Linked DNA regions of Pelodiscus sinensis. The protein of the gene in region 1 purifies or fractionates together with the protein of each later gene. This does not show direct contact. Links are inferred from orthologs where the notes say so. Each region holds a gene or a part of one and is shown on either strand. Other genes may lie near its edges.

The links. Proteins that work in one complex are often made in the same cells at the same time.
Region 2: the proteins of BNIP1 (region 1) and USE1 purify together in Homo sapiens (co-immunoprecipitation; 4 studies listed by BioGRID and IntAct, counting the BioPlex papers as one, with this or other methods). This does not show direct contact. The link is inferred for Pelodiscus sinensis from reciprocal best matches to the Homo sapiens genes BNIP1 and USE1.
Region 3: the proteins of BNIP1 (region 1) and NBAS purify together in Homo sapiens (co-immunoprecipitation; 3 studies listed by BioGRID and IntAct, with this or other methods). This does not show direct contact. The link is inferred for Pelodiscus sinensis from reciprocal best matches to the Homo sapiens genes BNIP1 and NBAS.

The regions. Positions count from the first base shown.
Region 1 is NC_134727.1:18,397,498-18,405,384, forward strand, and holds the start of BNIP1 (vesicle transport protein SEC20), read left to right. Parts: upstream 1-4,445; 5' UTR 4,446-4,507; coding exon 4,508-4,591; intron 4,592-6,121; coding exon 6,122-6,214; intron 6,215-7,887. UniProt on the Homo sapiens protein: As part of a SNARE complex may be involved in endoplasmic reticulum membranes fusion and be required for the maintenance of endoplasmic reticulum organization. Also plays a role in apoptosis.
Region 2 is NC_134729.1:20,832,127-20,839,696, reverse strand, and holds the start of USE1 (vesicle transport protein USE1), read left to right. Parts: upstream 1-4,213; 5' UTR 4,214-4,268; coding exon 4,269-4,370; intron 4,371-4,405; exon of another isoform or gene 4,406-4,701; intron 4,702-7,570.
Region 3 is NC_134713.1:22,929,563-22,937,782, forward strand, and holds the start of NBAS (NBAS subunit of NRZ tethering complex), read left to right. Parts: upstream 1-4,863; 5' UTR 4,864-4,904; coding exon 4,905-5,024; intron 5,025-8,220. UniProt on the Homo sapiens protein: Involved in Golgi-to-endoplasmic reticulum (ER) retrograde transport; the function is proposed to depend on its association in the NRZ complex which is believed to play a role in SNARE assembly at the ER. Required for normal embryonic development.

The DNA of each region.
Region 1 (7,887 bases):
GCAGAGAGTGACCTTTTGGAAACTTGGGGCAGTAGAAGGTGCAGGCTGGGATAGCTCCTGCATTAAAGCCGCTAGTAGTAGTGGACAGCAGATTTGGAGCCATTATACTGCCACAGGGTCAATAGGTCTGCACAGGGCAGGGAGCGGCTATGCTACCTAAGGGCACCTGGGGCAGCAGGAAGTGGAGAGCGATTGCAGTGCTTATTATCAGCCAATACATGGAGCAGAGTATGTGATATTACTGACTTATGATCTGGCCAAACAAATCATTGTACAAAATCGAATGCAACCAGAACAGTGGCTGCCACAAAGTGGGACAAGTGAGGTGTCTGTGAGAAGTTTACAATTCACTGCTTATGTTTATGCCATTCATATGTATGTATCATTTTTATATTTGAACTTATGTGTATTGTCTCTGTGTATTGGCTATGTACTTGTATTTCAAATGTGTGCTTCTGGGAGACACCAGCTGGAGGCTTGGCCAGTGTCTCAGCTATTCAAGTTATGTAGAAGTACTTGACTGACAATCTATCTTAGGAGGTGCCAGTCCACATCTGCTGAGCTTTACTGTGAGCGTTCAGACTAGCCTGGAAGCAATGGCTTCTACCTGTAAAGAACTGAGTCATGCATGGACAGGTGACTTGCTCACATGACAAACACTATCTTGTAGCTGTACTTTTCCACAGCAAGAACAATGGGAGTCCCTCCTCGTGGCCAAGAATATAGAATACCATAGGGACTTCATTTTATATTCAATCCTGTCTCTCACCTCTGGAGGACTAAAGGACTGAATGGCCCATCCTAACAAGTGGATGTACTCCAAAGACTTCACTTAAGCCAGCAGTTTATTCCATTACTGTTACAAGCATGAACCAAGAACTTCACATCCCACAATTGCACTTTTTTTTATAAAAAGGAAGGGTAAATCAAAGAAACCTAAATCTAAAATTGTTAGATTTTTAACTCTCCTTTAAAGTCTAAGGAAAGAGTTGGTGATGGCATGCAGTTTGTGTAAGATTCGCAGTTACAAATTGGTTTGGGGATGTGGCTAGTCCTGTGGAATTGGAAGAGATTGGTTTTCATAACATCGCAGCTGTACAAGGGGTGTTACCGGAGGTGGCACAAGCACAAGAGAAATGGAGTGTGTGAGGGAATTGTTTGTATGACTTCTTGTTAGCCAGTGTGGTAAACTGAAGTGCTCTTGGCGCCTGGTTTAGTGTGCCTTATTGTGGAAGCCCCGTCTTGGGCCGTAAGTAGCCTTGTCTCTAAGCAATTCTCTCTGAATTGATACTTTCAGTAAAGACATATCTACACTAGGAAATTATTTTGAAATTACCATTAACAGCCGGTGAGGGGGCACACGCTTGCCACAGCCTCCCCAGCCCTGGTGGAAGGTACACCGCACTGCACTGCATGGCCTGCCCCAGCCCAACCTCTTGAGCACCGGGGAAGGGAAGAGGTAGGTAGGGTGTGCTGCACCACCTGGCTTGCCCAGCTGTGGAATACTGGGAGAGAGAGGAGGGCGCGCCATGGGGCCTGGCCTGGCATCCCCAGCCCTGGAGCAGCAACACTCTGTCCCCAGAACACCTACCGCAGGCATTCTGGGGGTGGAGGGTGGGTGGGGCCATGCCTGGAAATAAATTGGGAATTATTTCTAATTTAGTTAACAAAACTGAAATAGCATGTTCCCACTATGGGGGAGCATTGAAATCAGTCAGAATTATTTCAAAATAGTGTGTCCACACTGATTGGCGCCTGCCTTGGACTTGGAGTCCTTGGAAGCACTCTGGGGAGGGCACCAGGAGCGCAGACACTTCCAGGGGCTGCTTGGTCCAGCAAGCTGCAATGCATGTTTTGAGGGGCTCCTCTCTATGGCCGCATCTCACACACCACTCCTCCACTGCCTTCCCCCTCGTGGCACACAAAATGGATGCAGTGTGCTCTGGTTGCCCTTGCGGATGCCACAGCACTCACAGCATGGAGCCGGAGTGGCTGCAAAGCAGTGCCAGGCTCACGAGCCTCATGCTGCACCTCATGGCATGGTACTTACAAACTGACCGCATGCTGCTCCAGCAGGACAATGACCAGCTGGACCACAGTCCTTGATAACCCAGGTCCTGGTGCTCCTGCTGCTGTGCATGCCCCTCAATCCCCTGGACATCGTGGAGCGCCACTTCTGGTGGCGGGAGACCAGTTTGGACTGGTGAGACTGCATTGTCCTGTAGCTATCAGACAACCAGCAGTGGCTCCAGAACTTAAGCATGTAGAAGACCACCTTCCTGGAGCTCTGCGAGTGGCTCGCCCCTTCCCTCAAGTGACAGAACACCCAACTGAGACCTGCCATCCCTGTGTAGAAGTGTATTGACATCACCCTGTGACAGATCGCCACGCCGGACAGCTGCTGCTACACTGGGAACCAGTTTGGCATGGTGAAATCTACAGTCAGGACCCTGCTCCTGCAGGTAGCCCGGGCTGTCAACCACATGCTGCTACAGAGGCTCGTTACTCTGGGGAATGTGGACAGCATTGTGGACAACTTTGCCGCCATGGGCTTCCCCAACTGCAGGGGGCCATAGACAGCACTCTCAGCCCCATCCTGGCCCCTGACCACCAGGCCTCAGACTACATCAACCATGGTGCTGAAGGCCCTCGTGGATCATAAAGTATTATTCACTGAGGTCGTTGGCTGGTCGAGAAAGGTGCATGATGCCTGCATCTTCTGGAGCTTCTGCCTATTCCAAAAGATGCACGCTGGCACTTTTTTCCCTGACCACACCATGAGAGACATGTCCATTTGCATCCTGGGCGACGCAGCCTACCCTTTGCTCCATGAAACTTTAGATGAGCAGCCTGGATACTCCCACACCAAGATGCACTTCAACACCAGGCTGAGCAGGTGTGGCATGGAGCTGGAATGTGCATTTGGCCAGTTAAAGGGGAAGTTCAGGAGTCACCTCACCCATCTGGGCCTCAGCAAGGACAACATCCCCTTCGTGCTGCTGGCCTGCTGTGTGCTCCGCCACCTGTGTGAGAGCAGCGGGGAGACTTATTGCCAGGGTGGGGGGGGGCAGAGGCTGAATGTCTGGCTGGGGCATACAAGCAGCTAGACACCAGCACCATACAGAGAGCACGTCAAGGGGCTGTGCTCATCAGGAGAGTTTTGTACAAGGCCAGCTGTGAGACTTTCCCCCGTGCCTCTCCAGAAGGTGCCCTTGCATTACCTCTGTGTGCCTTTCCTTCCCCACTCCTCCCTTCCCCTGCCCTCCTTTCCCACCTTCCTCCCCCTCCCTTGCAGAGCAAATAAAAAAGCCTTCTTTTGTGAAACAGGACTGTTCGGGGAGGGCAGGGGGGAATATACAACAGGGGAGGTACTAGGGAAAGAATCTGAAACGGGCAGAGGTGGCCCGTGAGCCTAGGCGAACTAGGCAGTTGCCTAGAGCGCCGCTGGCCCGGGCACCCAATGATGACGTCACAGCCATTGACGGCCGTGCAGGGGGGGGAGGCGCCAGTTGCGCTGCCCGCTGGGGTGCCAGCTGCTGCAGCTGGCCTTGGGCCACTCCTGAACAGGGGAGAAGCAAAAGGGGCCTCAGGGATGGGACTGGTACCTTCCCCCAGGTGGTCGGGAGGCTTCCGCTGCCTGAGAGGTCCCACCACCATGTGTTCTGGGGCACTCGTGGCTCCTGGGTGGACGGGGCAGCAAGATGGCTAGTGGCCTGCTCCATGCATGAGGCCATGTGCTCCATCACTGTGGTGAGGGAGGAGCACATGGCCTCATGCTGGTGTTGCAGCTGGTCCCAGGCAGCTGCCTTCTGCTCCAGGTCAGCACCCCCTCTCCTTGTGCTCCTCTTTGAGCCCCTGGACAGGGGACTGCAGGCCATAGACAGGGTGTCTTTCTCAGCCAGGGGCCATGTCAGTGAGGGTTTGTTTTTTTATTTTTGCTTCTCAGTTACGTGCGGCCCAACACAAAAAAGCCCCTTCCTCCCCTCCCCTTTAGCTCATCCCTGATTGATGTCTATCCAACCTGCTCTTAAATATCTCCAGTGACTGTTAAAAACAAATATGGTTTAAATGCTCGGGGCTGTGGAGAAAAGCCTGACGCCGAACAGAATCAGAACCTACATTTCTTACAGATTCTTTACACATTTGCCTGTTTTGAAGGCAACCCCTGCAGCTGGGGAGGGAGGGTGACACTCAGGATAGGCCTGCAAGTGGTAATATCACGATTTTGGAAAGTGGCACCAGCCCCTGAGTTTATTTGGAGCTGGGTTGCAAACACTGCTACTCAGTATAGTACACAGGCAGCCCGGCCCAAGCCTGCTCGCTGGGGCAGTGTGTGGCCCTAGGCAAGTGCATCCCTCGAACCAGGGAGGGAGGCCCAGTATTCCCATTCCCTGTGCCTACAGGACGCGGCCACTAGGTGGCGCGACTGCCGCCTTCGGCGGGAGCGGGGGGGGGGGGGGGGATGGTGTATTGATTTTGGTCCCTCTCGCTTCCCGTAGTTCGCAAGATGGCGGCGGTCGGGGACGTGCCCGTCCGGGTCTGTAACCAGGAAATTGTCAAATTTGACTTGGAGATTAAAGCGGCGGTGCAGGTAGCGTTGTCCGCACGCGCCGGGCCCCTTTCCGGCGCCCCCGCGGCACCTCCCTGAGGAGGGGTAGCGGCCTCTCCCCCTCCCGTGTGTGGGTCACCCGGGCCCAGGGCCCTGCCCGCCTGCTCCGCTCGGGGGTCATCTCTGGAGGCTTTCCCCCCCGCCCGGCCTTCTGCCCCCTTTCCGGTAGGCGGGGATCGCTCGTGGGCAGCTGGGCTCATTCGGGGCGGTGTTTGCGCCTCTTCCCAGTCCAGACTCTTCTCCCCCACACCTGGGGCCCGCTCGGGGACCCGTGTCTCTGTGCACCTCTCCGCCCCGGCCACGTCCCTTCCCGGCGCTGCAGAGTCGGCAGTTAGGAGCGGGCAGGTGCTTACGTGGAAGGGCAGTAAAAATCTGAGTTTAATTCTCTGGTGCTTGGCTAACTAATTTTCACAAACTTGACCAGCCCTGCCCCACTAAAAGGCTAATACAGCAGTACAACGCCACTGGCTGAGTTTCTGTGCAGTGCAGCGGTTTTTTCAAACTGCTTTGTGACCTCATTGTAATGGGGTTGCCAGGGTGGATGTTAGGTGTGGTGGGGCTTTGGGCCAAAACCCAAGTTCTGCAGCCTGGGGCCTAATCCAAAGCCCAACAGCTTCAGCCCTTTATGGTGAGGCTTAGGTTACAGGCCCCTTGCCTAGGACTGAAGTCCTGGGTCTTTTTTAGCCTTCTCCTCCCATCCAGGGTGGCAGAAGTTGGGTGGGCTCATTTTTCATCCGCTTCGCCCTCCCAGCCACATGTAATAATTTTTGTTGTCAAAAGGGAGTCACAATGCAATGAAGTCTGCCTAGTGTAATGGGCTCTGTGTTATGGTTTTTTCCACTTTTATAACATAATACTGATAGGCTACGTCTAGACTGGCATGATTTTCCGCAAATGCTTTTAACGGAAAAGTTTTCTGTCAAAAGCATTTGCGGAAAAGAGCGTCTAGATTGGCACGGAAGCTTTTCCGCAAAAGCACTTTTTGCGGAAAAGTGTCCGTGCCAATCTAGATGCGCTTTTGCGCAAAAAAGCCCCGATCGCCATTTTCGCGATCGGGGCTTTTTTGCGGAAAACAAATCTCAGCTGTCTACACTGGCCCTTTTGCGCAAAAGGACTTTTGCCTGAACGGGAGCAGCATAGTATTTCCGCAAGAAGCACTGATTTCTTACATGAGATCGTCAGTGTTCTTGCGGAAATTCAAGCGGCCAATGTAGACAGCTGGCAAGTTTTTCCAGAAAAGCAGTTGCTTTTGCGGAAAAACTTGCCAGTCTAGAGACAGCCACCATGTTTATATAAAATCTGAACGTGAGACCCCATGTTAATCTTTAATCACACTGCAAACATTCAAATTCCTCACAAGTGAAAAAGTCCTGTTTCTTCCTGTATCTCATTCAGCAGAAATACCCTGCGCCTTCTCAAAAACTAATTAAATAAATAATAAACATATTCAATTGCATTACCAATCTACAGCTCTTACTCAAGCATGCTTGTGGTGTATGTTATTTCTTTTAGGATATCAGGGATTGTCAAGGACCCTTAAATGTGCTTACAGAACTGAATGCCAAAGTAAAAGAAAAGTTTCAATATTTACGTCTCAGAATACAGGTGAGGTACAACATGTGTCTCACTACAAAAATGAGCTGCTGATTGGCAAAAGCAAGACTATTAATGGTGCTTGTAATAGGATTTAATTGGGTTTTCCAGAGACATGGAAGTCTGCATTCCCGTGTGTTAGGTAGAATTAAGGTTATACCAGGGTGACACTACAGTACTAATGTCTTGGAGACATTTATTAGCTATAATATTGAGTATTTCGAATTGCTTATGTATTGTGTAAGATAATTAAAAATAGTAGTCTCATTCCACAAGTATGTGTCTTGCAAATATACTTTCTCTGATAATTGATGGCATCTAAGCTGACAAGTTCTGCAGAAATGAAATGTACAACGGTAACCTTTTAAATGGACTGACACTTGTAGCTTTCTCTAAAATCAGCAGAAGGAAACTGACATGATTCTTATCACTTCCATTGTTGCCAATAGTCTGCTGAAAAGCAGCAATAAGTTGACCTTTGAGTCTAATTTGTTGATTCTCACTGCTCTCTATTCTTTGGCGTATGAGAGAGGGTTGATTGTTGTCTGGTTACTGGGGACTAGGGATGTTAAAAAACAGTTGTTATTGTAACTGTGTAGCCTCTAAAACTTTTAGGAGTTATATGCTGGCTCCCTGGGAATGGGGCCGGCAGCCAGTGTGCTTCCTGCTGCCAGCCCCACTCCTGGGGAACAGGCTACCACCCTGCACTGCATACTCTCATACAGAGTCAGTTCCTGGCATGTACCGGCTCCCACCTGCTGGCCTGCTCCCAGGAAAGTGGTTGCCACCTTTGATACAGAGGCAGCAACGTGAGCTGGTGTGCGCTGGGACCCAGATTTTAAGCCGGCTCGCTACTTGTACTGATTTAGAGGCAGCAGCACGGGATGGCAGTCAGCCTCCCTGGAGCCAGTGTGTGTTGGGAGCTGGCTTTTAAGCTGGTTCCCTGTGTGTACCAATTCCACCTGCCAACCTCTGCTGCTGCCTCTGTATCAGAGGCAGCAGCATGGGGCAGCAATCGACTCTCTGGGAGTCACACTGGGAGCTGGTGTGTAATTGTTTGGGTAACCAATATGCTCATGCTTATCGGTTATCCATGTAAATGAATACACTCTTTGGGGGTCCTTTGGGGGCCTTTCAGAGTCATTCTAAACTACCTAGATTCAAACCAAGGGTATCAGCAATATCAAATTAGCTGCTAATTTACTGAATTAGCTACCCTCTCTAGTTGAGAAAAACATAATACAGGCTGAAACTCTAAAATCTGGTATTCTCTAGTCCAGCAACAAATGTGGTCAGGCAGAATTATGGATATTGCTGGACCAGAGAGCTCGGCTGGGAGTGGGGGCAGCCAGGGTCAGAAGTGGAGCTCTGGCCAATGACAGCAGAGCCAGAGGCTGGGCGCACTGCCCAGGCCGGCAGTGGGGAGCTCAGCCCTGGCGTAAGCTGATGGCAACGGTGCCAGCATGGCTGGGAGTGTGGGGCTGGCGGCGGGGAGTTCAGTCCTGGATAGGGCTGGGAGCAGAGCCCAGTGGCCAGGGCTGGCACCCAGGAGAGGGGCTTATGGCTAGGAGGGGAGCCTTGACCTCCCTTGCTCCACAAAACTCCTTGGTTCCTGACAGTTCCAGAACAAGGCAGTCCAACCTGTAATTGTAAATTGTATCACACCTTATGCTTCGATTTTAGTA
Region 2 (7,570 bases), on another chromosome or scaffold:
TGGAGTAGGCTCTAAAACAGTTTCGGTCACGAAGCAAAATACTGGGACTTGAGTCTGCAAAAAAACCCCAGTTTCTCCTGCTGTGCTGCCTTGTATTTGCTTACGATGGGCTGTAATAGGCCTGACTGAGTTAGTCACTAGGTTTTTCCATATTCCATTTTTTTATGTTTTATGAAAAGTTCTTTTTGTTTACAAAACTGTTAATGTACTTGTCTTAACTGAGACCAAAAACATATCCAAATGTTTATTAATACATTGCACTTTTTAAAAACACGTGTTATCAATGTCCTATTGCTACAATGTCCGCCCTTCTCGAGTGCTCTTGAGTAGAAAGAAGACACTTAATTCTGACCAAAAGTGGATCGGCTTTCTTGAGATTCATGCCTTTTCCCAACACTTCCTTAAAAGGATTTGGAAAGAGTTCTGCAGGGTAAATACCAATCACCAAAGGCGTTGGTTTTCTGAGAGTTCAGTGCTTTGCATACAAGTATAATCACATTGCTCAGTAAATGCAGTTGTCACAGTTGGGCAACTTTGTGCAAGGCTTTGTTCAGCATCTGTTGTGCATCACAGTGCTGCAAAAGTCATCAAGCATGAGCACATGCAAGCACAAACAGCTTCTAAAACTTGGGCCATGTGAGTCAACCCCCAGCTCTCCTCTACCAGTGTGAACTGGGAGCATAGACGGGGCAGCAGGCTTTCCGCTGATACGAAGAACTCCATTTGAACACTGCGTACAGATGTGGTCACCTCATCTCAAAAAAGATATATTGGAAAAGGTTCAGAAAAAGGCAACAAAAATGATGAGGGATTTGGAACGGGTTCCAAATGAAGAAAGATTAAAAAGATGGACTTTTCAGCTTAGAAAAGAGGCGACTAAGGGGGTATGATAGAGATCTATAAAATCATGACTGGTGTGTTAAAAAGTTAAAAAGGAAAAATTATGTACTTGTTCCCATAACACAAAAACTAGGGGTCACCAAATGAAATGAATAAGTAGCAGGTTTAAAATAAACAAAGGGAAGTTTTTCTTCACGCAGCGCACAGTCAACTTGTGGAACTCCTTGCCAGAGGATGTTGTGAAGACCAGGCCTTTAACAGGATTCAAAAAAGAACTAGATAAATTCATGGAGATTAGATCCACCAATGGCCCAATATGGTCTGACCCAATATGGCCATTCTTATGTTCACTTACTGGCTCCAATCAAGAATCCCTTCCAGTCTTCTCATTGCCAAGTATCAAACAATGCATACATGTGTAAAAACAAGGAGTCCTGTGGCACCTTAAAGATTAACAAATGTATTTGGGAATAAGCTTTTGTTGGTATAAAAAAAACCAACCACTTGGTCTCCCATGGTTCTGACAAAGTGGGTTTTTACCCATGAAAGATTATGCCCAAATACATCTGCTAGCCTTTGAGGTGCTACGTTCTCCTTGTTGTTTTTACAGATATAGACTAACAGGGCTATCCCTGAGACTTGTCACACAAAGGTGTGTTAGAGCTGGTAGGAAGATATGGCTTTTTCCATGGAAAACTTTGAATTTGTACTTTAAATAAGATACATTTTGATTTGGAAATGTTATGGTGCCTCATGGGAATTTTAGTTTGGATGCCTCTGTGCCATGCTCCTAAAGGTGTACCATTTCCCATGATATACCAAAGTATCTTGGTGGGAAAAGTCATGCATTACAGCAGTCCCAGCTGTAGTGCTACATGGGAGAAGTAGTTTAGCAGGAGAGCCTGCTCCAGAGAGAAGAATGGATGCACAATTCCCATGTATTTTTTTCTGCAGATTGCAGCTATTTTTTACAAAAAATAAACGGAAACCCCTATTTTCTGTGCAAACAGTTTTGACAATTGAGTCAGCCACTCCTGCTGCTTAATTATAATTAAAAATGCTGCGGTTGCAATGAGTGGTGAAGGAACAAATGTACCACCTTGTAGTTAGAACAGTTGCTGAGTCAGTGGAGACCACACATTGACATAAAAAGGCACTTTTGTAAACACTTTAGTTTGCTGGTTGGAGGTGAACTGGAAAATTCAAGCACTGGATTTCACAAACTTTCCAATTAGATGCAGAATGCTGCCATCAGGTAGGTAGGGCATCATGGACAAAATATTTGTTTTTTTTTCTTAGCATATGACACAAAATTAATTAGCTTAATTTAAAAAATTGCCTCCTGCCTGAGATTAGAACAGGATTAGTCCTGTGATAATGAATACTCTTTTTCTGTACATTGTCAGGCAACCCCAAGCACAATTTGAAACAGCTAGTGAGACTCTTCCATATGCCTTGAGAGACTTTTTAATATAGCCAAAATGTGTGTGAAAATTACAATGCCTTTTAGTAGCTGGACTAACTTCAACTTGTTATTGCTCACTTCCTGTGGGGTAGTATCAGGGCACAGAATAAATCCAGCATGTCTTGCTGAACTTATTGGCTAATACATCAGTGTGTTCATTACTGTACAGCTAGGCATCAATGATCCTAGCCCAAGGTGGTCATAAACTAAAGTGGTCAGACAACGCAAGCCAAGGCACAGTCCAATGGATCAACAGCCAGCGAAAGGTCTACCTTCCACGTATGCCAAGTAATTCTCGGAGGAGGACTGTCATTTGAAGGTTGTAGTGAAGAGATGTTTTCAAAAGGAATTTGGAGAAATTTAATCTGAAGTTAGGGGAATTATGTAGCTGTTTTGTCACCACGAACAGCCTGCCTCTGAAAAGGTCAGTGATATAGTTAAATGAAACAGTGGTTGTAGCTCAAATGTAAACTAATTTTATTGTTAAACCTCTGTAACGTGAGCTAAATTATGAGATCAAGGCCTGGTTAATGTGCTGGCAAGTGACATTTCCATTCCAACTCATCTGATAAAGTGGGTTTTTCCCACAAAAAGTTCATGATCATAATAGGGATGTTAAATATTAGTTAATTGAATAGTCAATTAACCTCATGAATGCTTATTGGTTACTCAACTATTCTATAGTCTCTGGGGGTGGGGTTGGCAACCAGTGCAATCCAGCCCCACTTTTGAGGAGACCCCTGCCACTCCATGCTGCTGTTTCTGTATCAGAGGCAGCAGCATGGGGTGTCAGGCACGAGCTGGTGCTTGAGGAGAGCCAGTTTAAAAACCAGTTCCCCTTGCAGACCGTCTGCCTGTCGCCCCATGCTGCTGCCTCTGATACAGAGGCAGCAGCGCAGGGTGGCAGCAGCCCCTGTTCGGGTAGGTTCTGAACTCCCAGACATGGCGCAAGCCAGAACTGAGCCAGGCTGCCTGCTTGCTTGGCTCCTAATAAACTTTAAAGGCAAAGCCATAGCAGGCTTAGGGCCTGGATCTGGTGCAAGTCTGGGCAGAGCCTACCAAAAAATTTACTGCGGTGGCAATGTGTGTAGTCGATAGCGTTAACAGATAAGCTTTTGCTACTCAGTTAATTGATTCTACTATTGCATCCCTAGATCCTATATATATTTGAAGTCTCAAGCGGGGCTAGCCGGGTTAGTCTGTAACTTTAAAAACTGAGGACTCCTGTAGCATCTTAGAGACTAAGGAACCTCTATATGTATTGCTTATGAGCTTTTGTGGCAAAATTCACTTTCTCAGATGAGAAGGGGGACGGGAGTGGGGGGGGGGGGAATGACACACAATTATTTTCCACTTTTTACTCATCTGATTCCCTATGAAAGTTCATGAGTGTCTCTCTCTCTCTCTATATATCTATATATAGAATCTCTACAGACTGACTAGTGATAGAAATGTAGCCCTGTTAGTCTGGTGTAGCTGAAACAAAAAACAGGACTATATAGCACTTTGGTATGTAACATCTTCTTAGTCTTCAAAGTGCTACAAGTCCTGGTTTTTGTTACAGACACGACTCTGCTCTTTTTGTTAGTCTCTAAGGTGCTATAAGTCTACTCGCTTTTTTTCAAGTTGCAGCCTCCGGGGCTTCCCCTCTCAGCCTCCTCATGGGCAAATAGTGGGGGGGGGGGGGGCTACTAGAGTCTTTTCCTGCATCGTTCCTCTGCCCCCTGGCCTGTAATGTCCCCGCGCTGCCGCCTGTGGGCCCTGTAACGCCACGTGCAGGCTCCTGGGGGCGGGGAAGCTGCAGAGGCTCCTCCCCTTCCCCCACGTGCCGCCGCGGGCTCCAGCAGCCTCTGGCCCCGCCCCTCCGCAGCGTGCCTGGTGGGCGGAAGCGCCCCGCCCTGCCACGTGGGCGGGACTCGGAAGTGTTCGCGCGGCGGGCGGGTTCCGCTTCCGGGTCGGAGCGATGGCGGCCCCTCGGCTGGAGCTGAACCTGCGGCGGCTGCTGAGCCGCTGCGAGGCGCTGGCGGCCGATAGGCGGGAGCCGGACGAGTGGCGGCTGGAGAAGGTGCCGGGATCGGCCCCGCGTCCCCCGCCCGATCTCTGGCCCGGGGCGGGGCTGGGCTCCGCTGGAGGCGCCGGCGTTGCCAGGGATGCGGAGCGGGACCCGCTTGGCTCGCGCTGCGCGTCCCCGTGAGCGCCCCGCGCGGCTCGGGACTTGCCTCAGAACGTGTCGCGGAGACCAGGCGGGTTCCCGCAGGGCCCTGGTCACCCTCCCGCGCTCCTGTGGGAAGAGCAGAGGCCCCCGCTCAGTCAGCTCGGCTGCTGGAGAGAAATCCCTGGAGTGTCCGGTCTCTGGATACTTTCCTGGGAGAGGGTCTGTTCCCTGCCAGTGTCTCCTAGAATAGTGATAGAAACGCAGCGTGTGAGTCTGGTGCAGCTGAAACAAAACGCAGGACAATGCAGCACTTTAAAGACTAACAAGATGGTTTATTAGGTGATGAGCTTTCGTGGGCCAGACCCACTTCCTCAGATCAAATAGTGTCACAGCCATAGATACCAACCCTCTTCTGTTATGAAATGTGATTTGTCCTTTTCATATTTGTTCATTTTTTTTAATTGTATCCTTTGGTATCTATGGTTGTGACAATTTTCTTCCACTATTTGATCTGAGGAAGTGGGTCTGGCCCACGAAAGCTCATCATCTAATAAACCATCTTGTTAGTCTTTACAGTGCTACATAGTCCTGTTTATAGTATCTCCTGTGACTGAACTGTCCAGAGTTGTGGGTAGGCTCCTATATTTGGTTTCCTTGGCTAGAGCTCAGTCTTTCTGACTGGCAGATACTGTTTAGCTTTACTGAGGTGGATCTAATATAGGGATCGTTGAACCTGATATTGAAGCAGAATTTTAAAACCAGGTCTCATTTTCTCTTCAAGATTTCTCAAGTTTTATTCAGGGAGAGTTGTCAAATGTGAGGAAGATTTTTTTTTTAACATATGCAGTGTTCTAATACTGTTATCCCAGGATATTAGTGAAACAAGTGGAGGAGGTAGTAGGGATATTAAACTGTGTTTAATCAACTAATGGAATTTCCTGGCGGCCTTAATATATTTAAAAAACACAAGCACAGCAGTAGGGAGGGAATGGGCACAAGCCAGGAATCAGCTGATTCCCTGATCGCCTGGTCCCCCACTACACCTCTGCCTGGCTTTCAAGCCACCTCCCCCCAGCTCCTGCTCTCCCTTCCCCCCACCCTCCCATAGAGGCTGCAGGGGGGAAAGCGACTAGTTGCTACATCCCTATGAGGTGGTATCTTTTATTGGATCAGCTTCTGTTGGTGAGACAAACTTTTGTGATTACACAGAGCTTTTCTTCAAGTTTGAGATGCTTCCTCTCTTGTGTGTGTCACCACCAGAAACTGGTCCAATAAAAGATATTACCTCACCCGCTCAGTGTCCCAGATTTCTTTGTTAGATCATTATTTGACTGTAGTGTTTCACTTGCACTTCCATAAACTTATTGAATGTTGGCCTCAGAATAGTCTGATTTACTGTGAACTTGACTGTTGTGAATAGGATTTAAAGAATCTTTGTTTAATCATCTTGACTCTGGCCGCTGGAGGTCACTCTTATGCCACATACATGGATCTTATATAAGAACCCTGTTGTGATTGCCAGACTACCTGCTTTTATATGAGGAGATAAAGGATTGGAGTTAGGGCAATCCTGCTCTCCAAAAACCATCTTGCCATCCCTGACAGGCAATTCTGTGCCCCAGTGTAAGGAAGAATATTCTGAAATGTGTGCATCCTGTATCATTAATACACATATACACCTTGCATGTCAGTCCTCAGTTTGCCCAATGAGATATGTTACTGTTCTATGGAAGCAAAGGGACATATAAAAATAGCATCTAGGAACCTCTGGTTTATGCTGTAAGTCATACCACTGTTATCTTGTAGCTTGTGGTATAACAATATAATATATTATATATAATATTTAACAGGAAACTTGGATATGGCAGAGATGCTCAATGACTTCTTTGTTTAGGTCTTCACTGAGAAGTCTGAAGGAACACTTAACATAGTGAATGCTAGTGGGAAGGGGGTAGTTTTAGAAGGTAAAATAAAAAAAGAACAAGTTAAAAATCACCTAGAAAAGTTAGATGCTTGCAAGTCACCAGGGCCTGATGAAATGCATCCTAGAATACTAAAGGAGCTGATATCTAGAGGCTCAGATACCTCCTCTATCATCTTTGGAAAATAATGGGAGACAGGAGAGATTCCAGAGGACTGGAAAAGGGCAAATATAGTGCCCATCTATAAAAAGGGAAATAAGAATAACCCAGGAAACTACAGACCGGTTAGTTTAACTTCTGTGCCAGGGAAGATAATGGAGCAAGTAATTAAGGAAATCATCTGTAAACACTTGGCAAGTGGCAAGGTGATAGCGAACAGCCAGCATGGATTTGTAAAGAACAAATCATGTGAAACCAATCTGATAGCTTTCTTTAATAGGATAACGAGTCTTGTGGATAAGGGAGAAGCGGTGGATGTGATATACAGTAAAACTCTGATGGTCCGGCATCTGATGGTCCGGTACTCCTGATGGTCCGGCACCATCAGGAACCCGGAAGTGCTCCGGGCAGCCGGACCATTGGAGCTGCTCTGCCCCCAGGTTCCCCAATTCAGCTGCTGCTAAAACTGACCAGCGGCTGAATCGGGGAAGCCGGGGGCAGAGCAGCTGGGGCACTGCCGGGTTGGTCCCATAGCACTGCCCCTCGGGGCTGCGGAACCCAACCCAGCAACGACCCAGCTGTCCCCGATTCAGACGCTGCTGAAACTGACCAGCAGCTGACTCCAGGAAGCCCGAGGCAGAGCTGCTCTGCCCCGGGCTTCCTGGAGTCAGCCCCGATCAGTTTCAGCAGTGGCTGACTTGGGGACACCTGGGACAGAGCAGCTGGGGTGCTTCCAGGTTGGTCCAGTAGCGCCGAGGAGCAGCGCTGCGGAACCCAACCCAGCAGCACCCCAGCTGCTCTGCCCCAGGCGTCCCCAAGAGCAGCTGGGGTGCTGCCGGGTTGGTCTCGCCGTGCCAAGGGTCGGCGCTACCGGACTTCCCCAATTCAGCCGCTGCTGAAACTGACCAGCAGCGGCTGAATCAGGGACGCCTGGGGCAGAGCCGGACTATTGGAAAGGGCGGCTATGAGAGGTCTGGGGTGGCATCTCCCCCACCCCACCCCAGACCCCTCATAGTCCCCCCTTCTGAT
Region 3 (8,220 bases), on another chromosome or scaffold:
CCAGCTGACCCCAGGCTCTTCATGGCATGCATGGCTTTGAAATGCACAAGAGCCCATGCTAGGGACTCTTGTACATCTCAAAGCAAGCACGACACTTGCAGCCCAGAATCATCAGGACTCCCTGCTGGCCCTGGGCTGTATACGGAGTTCTGCATTCCTCCTTTGAAATGTACAAGAGCCCCAGCGGACGTTTCAAAGGCGGAATGCGGAAGTGCCTATCGACTAGTTGATTAATCAGTTAACTACAATTTAACATCTTTACCCCTGACCAGCCCAAACTAACTATGAACACTTAGCCTGACTAGCCCAGAACTAACTCTGATTATCCCAGACTGACCCATACTAGGGATGTTAAAATGTGGTTAATTGACTAGTTGAATAGTCGATGGTATTTCCATCGACTACTCAACTAGTCGATAGGCACTTCCGCATTTCTCCTTTTAAATGTCCACTGGGGCTCTTGTATATTTCAAAGGAGGAATGCGGAACTCCCCATACAGCCTGAGGCCAGTGCATACAGCTACTGACTCAAGACTGCGTGCGGGTGGCTTGCTTTGAAATGCACAAGAGTCCCCCCTAGTGGGAGCCTAGGGTCAGCTGGGAACTCCCCAGCTGACTCCAGGTTCGATGCAGCATTTCCCTGGAATCCGAGGCCAGCTCCCCAGCTGATCCCGAGTTCCGAACGGCATTTCCCCAGACCCTGGCTTCTGGGGAAATGCCGCTCAGAACCTGGTGTTAGCTGACTCCGGGCTCCATGGAAGTGGTGTTTTAAAGGGGCAGTGCTGCACAACTGAGCTGCAGATCAGCTGTGCAGCGGCTTCCCCTTTGAAACACCGCATTGGGGTTTCAAAGCGGCAGTGCCGCATAGCTGATTCCCGGCTCAGTTGTGTGGCACTGCTGCTTTGAAGTACTCCCCCTCTTTTCTGCCTCTATCTCATAGAGGTAGCAGGGAGGTGGTGGTGGTGGTGGGGAATCGACTAGTTGACTAGTCGAGAGACTATCCGATACGCATTTGCTAGTCCTTAACATCCCTAACCCATTCAGTGTACCTAATTTGAAACCACACAGAGACTGACCAGATCAAGATCATGTTGTGAATTGTAACCCAGCTAGTAAACCTGAGACCATGAGCCAAACTGAACCCAAGTTCTGAATCCTCATTCAGACTCAGTGTTGTCCGCACCAAGTGTTCAAGGACTATTTGTTGTTTTCTCAAGACTGAAGAGTCAGGCTTCCAAATCTGAAAATATTCACTTGAAAATCTGGGGTTTTTTTGTATCAGAGGGGTAGCCGCGTTAGTCTGAATCTGCAAAAGTGGTGAGGAGTCCTGTGGCACCTTATAGACTAACAGAAGTGTTGGAGCATAAGCTTTCGTGGGCTAAAGCATCTGACAAAATGGGTCTTCGCCCACGAAAGCTTATGCTCCAACATTTGTATTAGTCTATAAGGTGCTACAGGACTTTTCGCTGCTTTTGGGTTATTTTTGTCACAGGTTCAAGGGACTGCACTCTCTGCTCCAAGAAGGCTACTCACTCTAGACTTCCAAGTCATCAACTCTCTTGGACAGAGCTAGGATCTTGCTGCAACTTTAACAAAAATACCAAATACCAAATAGAATGAGAATTACAGTACAATTTAGGGTGCATGTATACTGCACCCTTAGCTCAAAATAAGCTACTCAATTTGAGCTATGTAAATTCCATAGCTTATTTTGAGTTAATTTTGAAATAGAGTGCTATTACAAAATTGTCGTGGAATTATGTTTACACGGATGTCTTGAAATAGCGCTGTTGTCTAGACACACCCTTAGAAAATTAGTAACACTGCTCATTTAATCCAAAGCTGAAACTGAACTCTTGACTTGAACCTAAGCCCAAACTATCTGTTTACTTTGAATATTTTATCTTTAAATTATACAGTTGTTGTCACCTCTAAACAAGTAGATTGGTATAGCCTGGTTTCATAGTTATTTAATCTTCTAGAAGAGTATGTTTGTTTGAAAGTATCTTTACTTACACATACGGAATAATAATCAGTTCTAACTTATTTTTAATAATCTATTCCTGAAGTCCTTACTCAACTTTTACTGCTCAGTTTCTGCTCTGTTTCTGTTGAAACAAACTCCTATTGACAAGAACCTCTATTGAGTGAAAACCTCTGGATCTGGAACTGTAAATATAGGATTAACCTCAAACTGGGAACTAAACAAGTGTAACTTCACCATTTCACATTATTTGTGAATTTGGCCAATTATAAACTAGTTTATCAAAGAGAAAGCATGAGAGTAGAGCATCATGGTGATTCCTTCCTGTTGTCAAAATGATACACAGAACTTTTAAAATTCCATTGAGACTTCCCCAGAGAGAAGAAGAAAGCACCTTGGTGTAGATTTCATCCAAAGGACAGCTTCTATAACAATGCAATATGTACTATTGCACAGTGGCATGAATAATGGCTAAACTAATTCCTGTCATGAGAATTGAGTTCAGCACCTTCTGTCCAAGTGTGTTACCATTTAGAGCATATTCATTGTTACTGACTTATTCTGGTGTATATGAGAAGGTAAGTATTAGGAATATTGCAATAAATATTCTAGTACTTTAATACCAGATTTCGTTTGTCACCAGTGGTGTTTTGGATCGTTTTTGTTAGCTGTCTTTCATTAGTAACCAAAGACCAAAGGCCATATTTTAGTGGGTATCAGTTTCATCTCTGCTATACACCTTTGCATTATATTCAGATGAGATCAATTTTAATATAGTTTGTTTAAATGATGTTTATTTTCTGGCTCCTCTTTGTACTTTACAGTCCTTAACTCATTTCTATCTAATCCATCATCTTCATGTTTTACATTTCAATGGAGTCATAAAATATTATACTAATGCAATTATTTTAAAAAAAGTTGAGGTGCCCATGTGAAGCTGTTGAAGCACTTGTTGCCAGATCTGTAACGCTAAAGGAAAAATGTACTGTGAACCTCATATTGTTCTTATAAATTGTGAACATTGGACAGATGCACTGCTGTTGTCACCCTTTTACCTTGAAAAACATAAATAAATTAAAAATATTAATCTAAAGAAACAATCAGAACTCAGTAGAAATTTCTTCTCAAATGGCACTATTTCTGTAATGTTTAATTTAAACCGTCTATGGCATAGAGTGCTAGGCCTTGTAATTCCACACTTTTGTCAGTATCTAAAACTAGACCACATAGCTGACTGCAAATTTAAAAAGAGATTATTAAAATACTAAAAATAGAAAAGGTTAGCAGTAAAGTGTGATCTTCTTTTTGTTGTAAGAAGTCTACATTACAAAAAATACTATACACACATTTAAAAAAAATACTATGTAGTTTATTATTTTCTTTGTGTTTCTCCTAAATTAACACTATTTGTCTCGATGATTGTGCATTCTAGGGTGCTGATCCTGTAATACAGTGGTTCTCAAACTTTTTGGTCTATGGACCATCCGCCTCAATGAAGACCTTTCTGTAGACCACCAGCTGCAATGGAAATTCAGAGTTAATGACATAATTATGCCTGAGCCATTTTGCAAGTCCTGCAGCTAAGGAGAATGGTTTAATTTAAATTATTAAACAAATTAAGTGTTTGAACTTTCTCCTGTTAGTTTATCAAACTTCATTTTAAATAAAGTATTAATTTATGTCGCAAACAAAAGGTTTCAATGTTTTCTTTATTTATGGTGTGGAGGCAGGAAAAGGGAATACGGGAATTTGTGTGCAGCCATCTTGGTCTTGTTAACAAGAGAGCAAGAGTCAGGCTAAGTCTGTGGCCTGACAACGCGAGATCTGTACTTAGACACTGCCTTTGCCTCTTGCCTCCATACGGAGATAAGGATAGAATGCTGACTCTAGCAGGGACCTTGAGATAAGGAGCATCTGGGTGGAACTAAATAACTGTTAGCCATTGGTGTCTGTAATGGGAAGGAGACTAATTGTTGTTGTTATTATATATAATGGACAGTATATAAACTCTTCATAATTGCTTGTATCTGAAGATCTGCCTTGGGGGGACTTCCCCCCCCCCCGTCCGAACCAGTTTTTCCCTTGCTGCAGCTTGTAATAAAACTGCCTCTGGCTACTTGTTGCTTACAAACTCAGAGCGAGGACAATGTTTTCTTCCACAATGGAATGGGCAGGGAACCTTTTTTGGGTTGGGGGGCCACTGACCAATAGAAAAATCAGCTGGGGAACACACAAGTGAGAAACAGAAGAACTACGCCAACCGTCAGTGATGTGGCTCCCACCTGAGACACCTCAGGACTCTGGGGGTGGGGAGAAAAATGAGAGTTTCAGTGTGCTGGATGGGCTGCTAGTGAGTGAGATAGGGATGGGGGTGCAGGATCTGGGGAACAGGAAGGGGTGAGGGTGCAAGGTGTGGGTGGGAGGTAGTGTGCAGAAGCAGGCTGGGTGTAGGGTGTCCGGCCGGGGGGAAGGAAGCAAGAGCAAGGGAGGGTGCAGAGTGTGGTTAAAGTGAACACTTAAAGGTGAAATAGACAAAACAAATCATCTTGACATGAGTAATTACACGTTTTTAAAATTTTAAATGTTTCATTTTAACTTAAAAAAATGTGTATTTTGGGATTGACAAAAGGGCCATCTTTGGTTCCAAATTTGTTCTAGAGCCATAGGTTGCAGACCCCTGATATATTATAGTATCATGAGCTCATGATACTATATATAGTTGTATTCGTTTCTAACAAAAAATATGGTGCTACTGGACCACTCGTTGTTTTTTTCAGTTTTTTTTGGTGTGGCCGTGGCCTCCACTTGCCCTATGCAGACAGCAGCAGAGCGGAAAGGGTTAAACATCTCTTTCCCTCCTCCCCGCCAGGAGGAGTGAGTGAGAGGTTTGTCCGCAGCCGGGCGCCGTAGCTGGTGTCTCATGGCTGCTGCCGCTGGGAGCTGGGAGGCGGCGGCGGGGGTCGCTAGCGGGGACGAGGAGGAAAACATCCTCTACGACCTGCTCATCAACACCGAGTGGCCGCCGGAGACCGAGGTGCAGGTCAGTCTGCCCCCCCCGCCCCCCCGCCGCTCAGCTGGGTGGGAGTGACCCAGGTGGGGGCGGGGTGGCCACGTTGAGCCCTGCAAGGCGCGGGAGGGCGGGCGCACGGCGCGGTCTCCTTGTCCCCCAGCGACGAGGGGTCGGGCTACCGTTGGGGGCACCTTCCACGCGCGAGACCCCCCGTCATCCCGAGCGAGCGAGGGGCCTTCTTCTCTCCCGGCTACTAAGGCTGCTGGGGCCACCCTGGCAGGCAGCGGCTCCTGACACCTTAAGGAGCATCCCGGGCACGTACCAAACACCTGGCGTGTGTCGCTCAGCCAGGGGGGAGGCGGCCCGCTCCCGTTTGGCACCTCGCTCCTGCACGCGGGCTGCTGCAGTCCCGGGGTGCGGGGAGCCCTTGAACACCGCTGTGTGCGCTGTATGATGGAAAGCGCTTCAAGCCGGCGTTGCCGCTGCCCCTTTGCTTTTTATACCGTTAACCAATATTGGTGAGGTTTTTGCTTTTTAGCAAAAGTACAGAAGGCTGTCGGGTAGAAGTATTCGTTGTGCAATTTACTTTGAGCCTGCTCTTCAGAAGAGGTTAGCTAACAGCGCCAAAAGAGTCAGTACGGGTTGCACTTAGGGAAACCAGGCCCTCTATCAAGTAAACAGTGTATGATGCAAAATGAAGTTATTTCCTATTAAAGCTATGGCAGGTCTTGGTTGGCAGATCTGCCCCGTATACTGAATGGGGAGAACATAACATACTTCGTGTGTTTTACAGAGGATGGCATAAGTAGACATCAAAGCACAAAAGTTGGATATTATTTAAACTTTACTAATTGGAAGATGGTAATTTGTTGAGGTTCTGTTTGTTCTGTGTGAGCCACTGAGAAACCTTGTTTTCAGTGGCTGGTGAGTAGTGGCTTGGCCGTGTATCCTCAGGGACAAATTTTTCATCTTCCATTTATTTCTCTATTCTTTTCCACTTTGTGCTAAATCAGCTGTCTGTCTTACATTTTAGAGGTTACATTTCTGCTGTAAAGTTGTTCCTTGTATTTATGTTTTGATTTCAAATTGTTTGTGTGTGTAAAATACGCACCCCTCCCTTTCCCCCAATACTAGGCATGTCAAAGTGTAGTTGACTATAAGATTAACCGATAAGCTTAGTCTTATCAGTTAGACTTGTCAATTACACACATTTCTAGTTAAAACACAGATACTTCATGAAAAATTTAATTAGGGAAATAACTGAGCAAACAGTGTTTTAATTTCCACTTTCTAGTTAATGGATACTAAGAACACTTTTCAAGAATAGAGTACTGCAATTTCTGCAGAAATCCATAGGTATTTGCTTCCAATTAATTTTTGTGGCTATTGGAGCAGATGTGTAAATCATAGAATACTAGAACTGGAAGGGACTTTGAGAGGTCATCAAATCCAGTTGCCTGTCCTCACGGGAGGACCAAACACTGTCTAGATTATCCCTGATAGACGTCTGTCCAACCTGCTCTTAAATATCTCTGGTGATGGAGATTCCACAACCTCCCTAGGCAATTTATTCCAGTGTTTAACCACCCTGACAGTTAAGTTTTTCCTAATGTCCAACCTAAACCGCCCTTGCTGCAATTTCAGCCCATTGTTTCTTATCCTGTCATCAGAGGCCAAGGAGAACAATTTTTCTCCCCCTCCTTGTAACATCGCTTTAGATACAGGCAGTCCCCGGGTTACGTACAAGATAGGGACTGTAGGTTTGTTCTTAAGTTGAATTTGTATGTAAGTCAGAACTGGTACATATTGTAGGGGAAACTCTAGCCAAACATTTCTCCAGAGCTCCGTTTTATTCTCCCACACCTCACTTCCCTCAGTCCTTTATTCTCAAGCTGAGGTGTCTGCTGAGAAAAGCCGCTCTGCGTCTCCCTGGTCTGCTGGGGGGAACAGCTAGTGCGGGGTTGCCTCACCCCGTTTGTAAGTAGGGATCTGATGTAAGTCGGATCCATGTAACCCGGGGACTGCCTGTACTTGAAAACTGTTACCATGTCCCCTCTCAGTCTTCTCTTTTCTAAAATAAACAAGCCCAGTTCTTTCAGTCTTCCCTCATAGCTCATGTTTTCTAGACTTTTAATCATTCTCGTTGCTCTTTCTCTGGACCTTTTTCAGTTTCTCCACATCTTTCTTGAAATGTGGTGCCCAGAACTGGACACAGTACTCCAACTGAGGCCTAATCAGGGCAGAGTAGAGCAGAAGAATGACTTCTTGTGTCGTGCTCACAATACTCCTATTAATGCATCCCAGAAGCATGTTTGCTTTTTTGCAACTGTTCAGAAAAAGGACTCTATATGGGTACTTGTCCTGCTTTGTCCTGCCTGGTGCTTACTGGGAAGAAGGATCGGGGTAATATCTGCGGAGGAGTGTGGTGGAGGCAGGGTGCTTGGCAGTGCCTTGCAGAGAAGAGTGGGACAAGCATCCTGCCCTAACCACGCTCCTCCACACACATTCCCTGACCCCACTTCATAGTTAGGAGCACCTCTGGGAAAATATGTTTAAAATCATAATTAAAGACTGCATGATAATGCATATGCATAGGGAGACTGAATTTTAAGATTGCCCGGGGAACCTTAATGTGTGTGGTAGGCAGCTAAAAACATCAATGCTTAATAGATATTTCAAATGGGCACATTGTCATTGCAAATGTAGATAGGAGCCTTATATAGATTTTATTTCTGAAATGTTCTAACAGTAAAATTTGAAGCTGTCTGTCAAACATGAATGTATCGTAAAAGGAGGTTTCTTAATGGATTGGAAGAAGGGTTTCTCTGTAACTGCATGGTGCATGTAAGGCTCAGTGGAGATACATTAAAGGAGAATACATTTTAATGTTCCTAATAGAGTAAATGACTTACTTTTAGGGATTAAAAACAATTGAAGAACGAGGCTTTTTAGTTCAAGTATAGAAGCGGATAGTGTAAATCTTCAAAAAGTTTTTTTGGGGGAAGGGGGGACTTTCAAAATTGCTTGTGGAATCTTCAAGCTTTTCATGATTCCTTAGAAGTTTCAGTGGGACTTGTGTCCTTGGGCACATCAGGAAATCTGATGAATATGAGAAATAAAATAAACTTTTTCATTTATTGTTACTGTATGCTGTATAGAAACTGGAGCCCAACTTCTGCCTGTCTGATAAACCTTAATTGAACAAATTGTGTATGAGGGCAGTTAT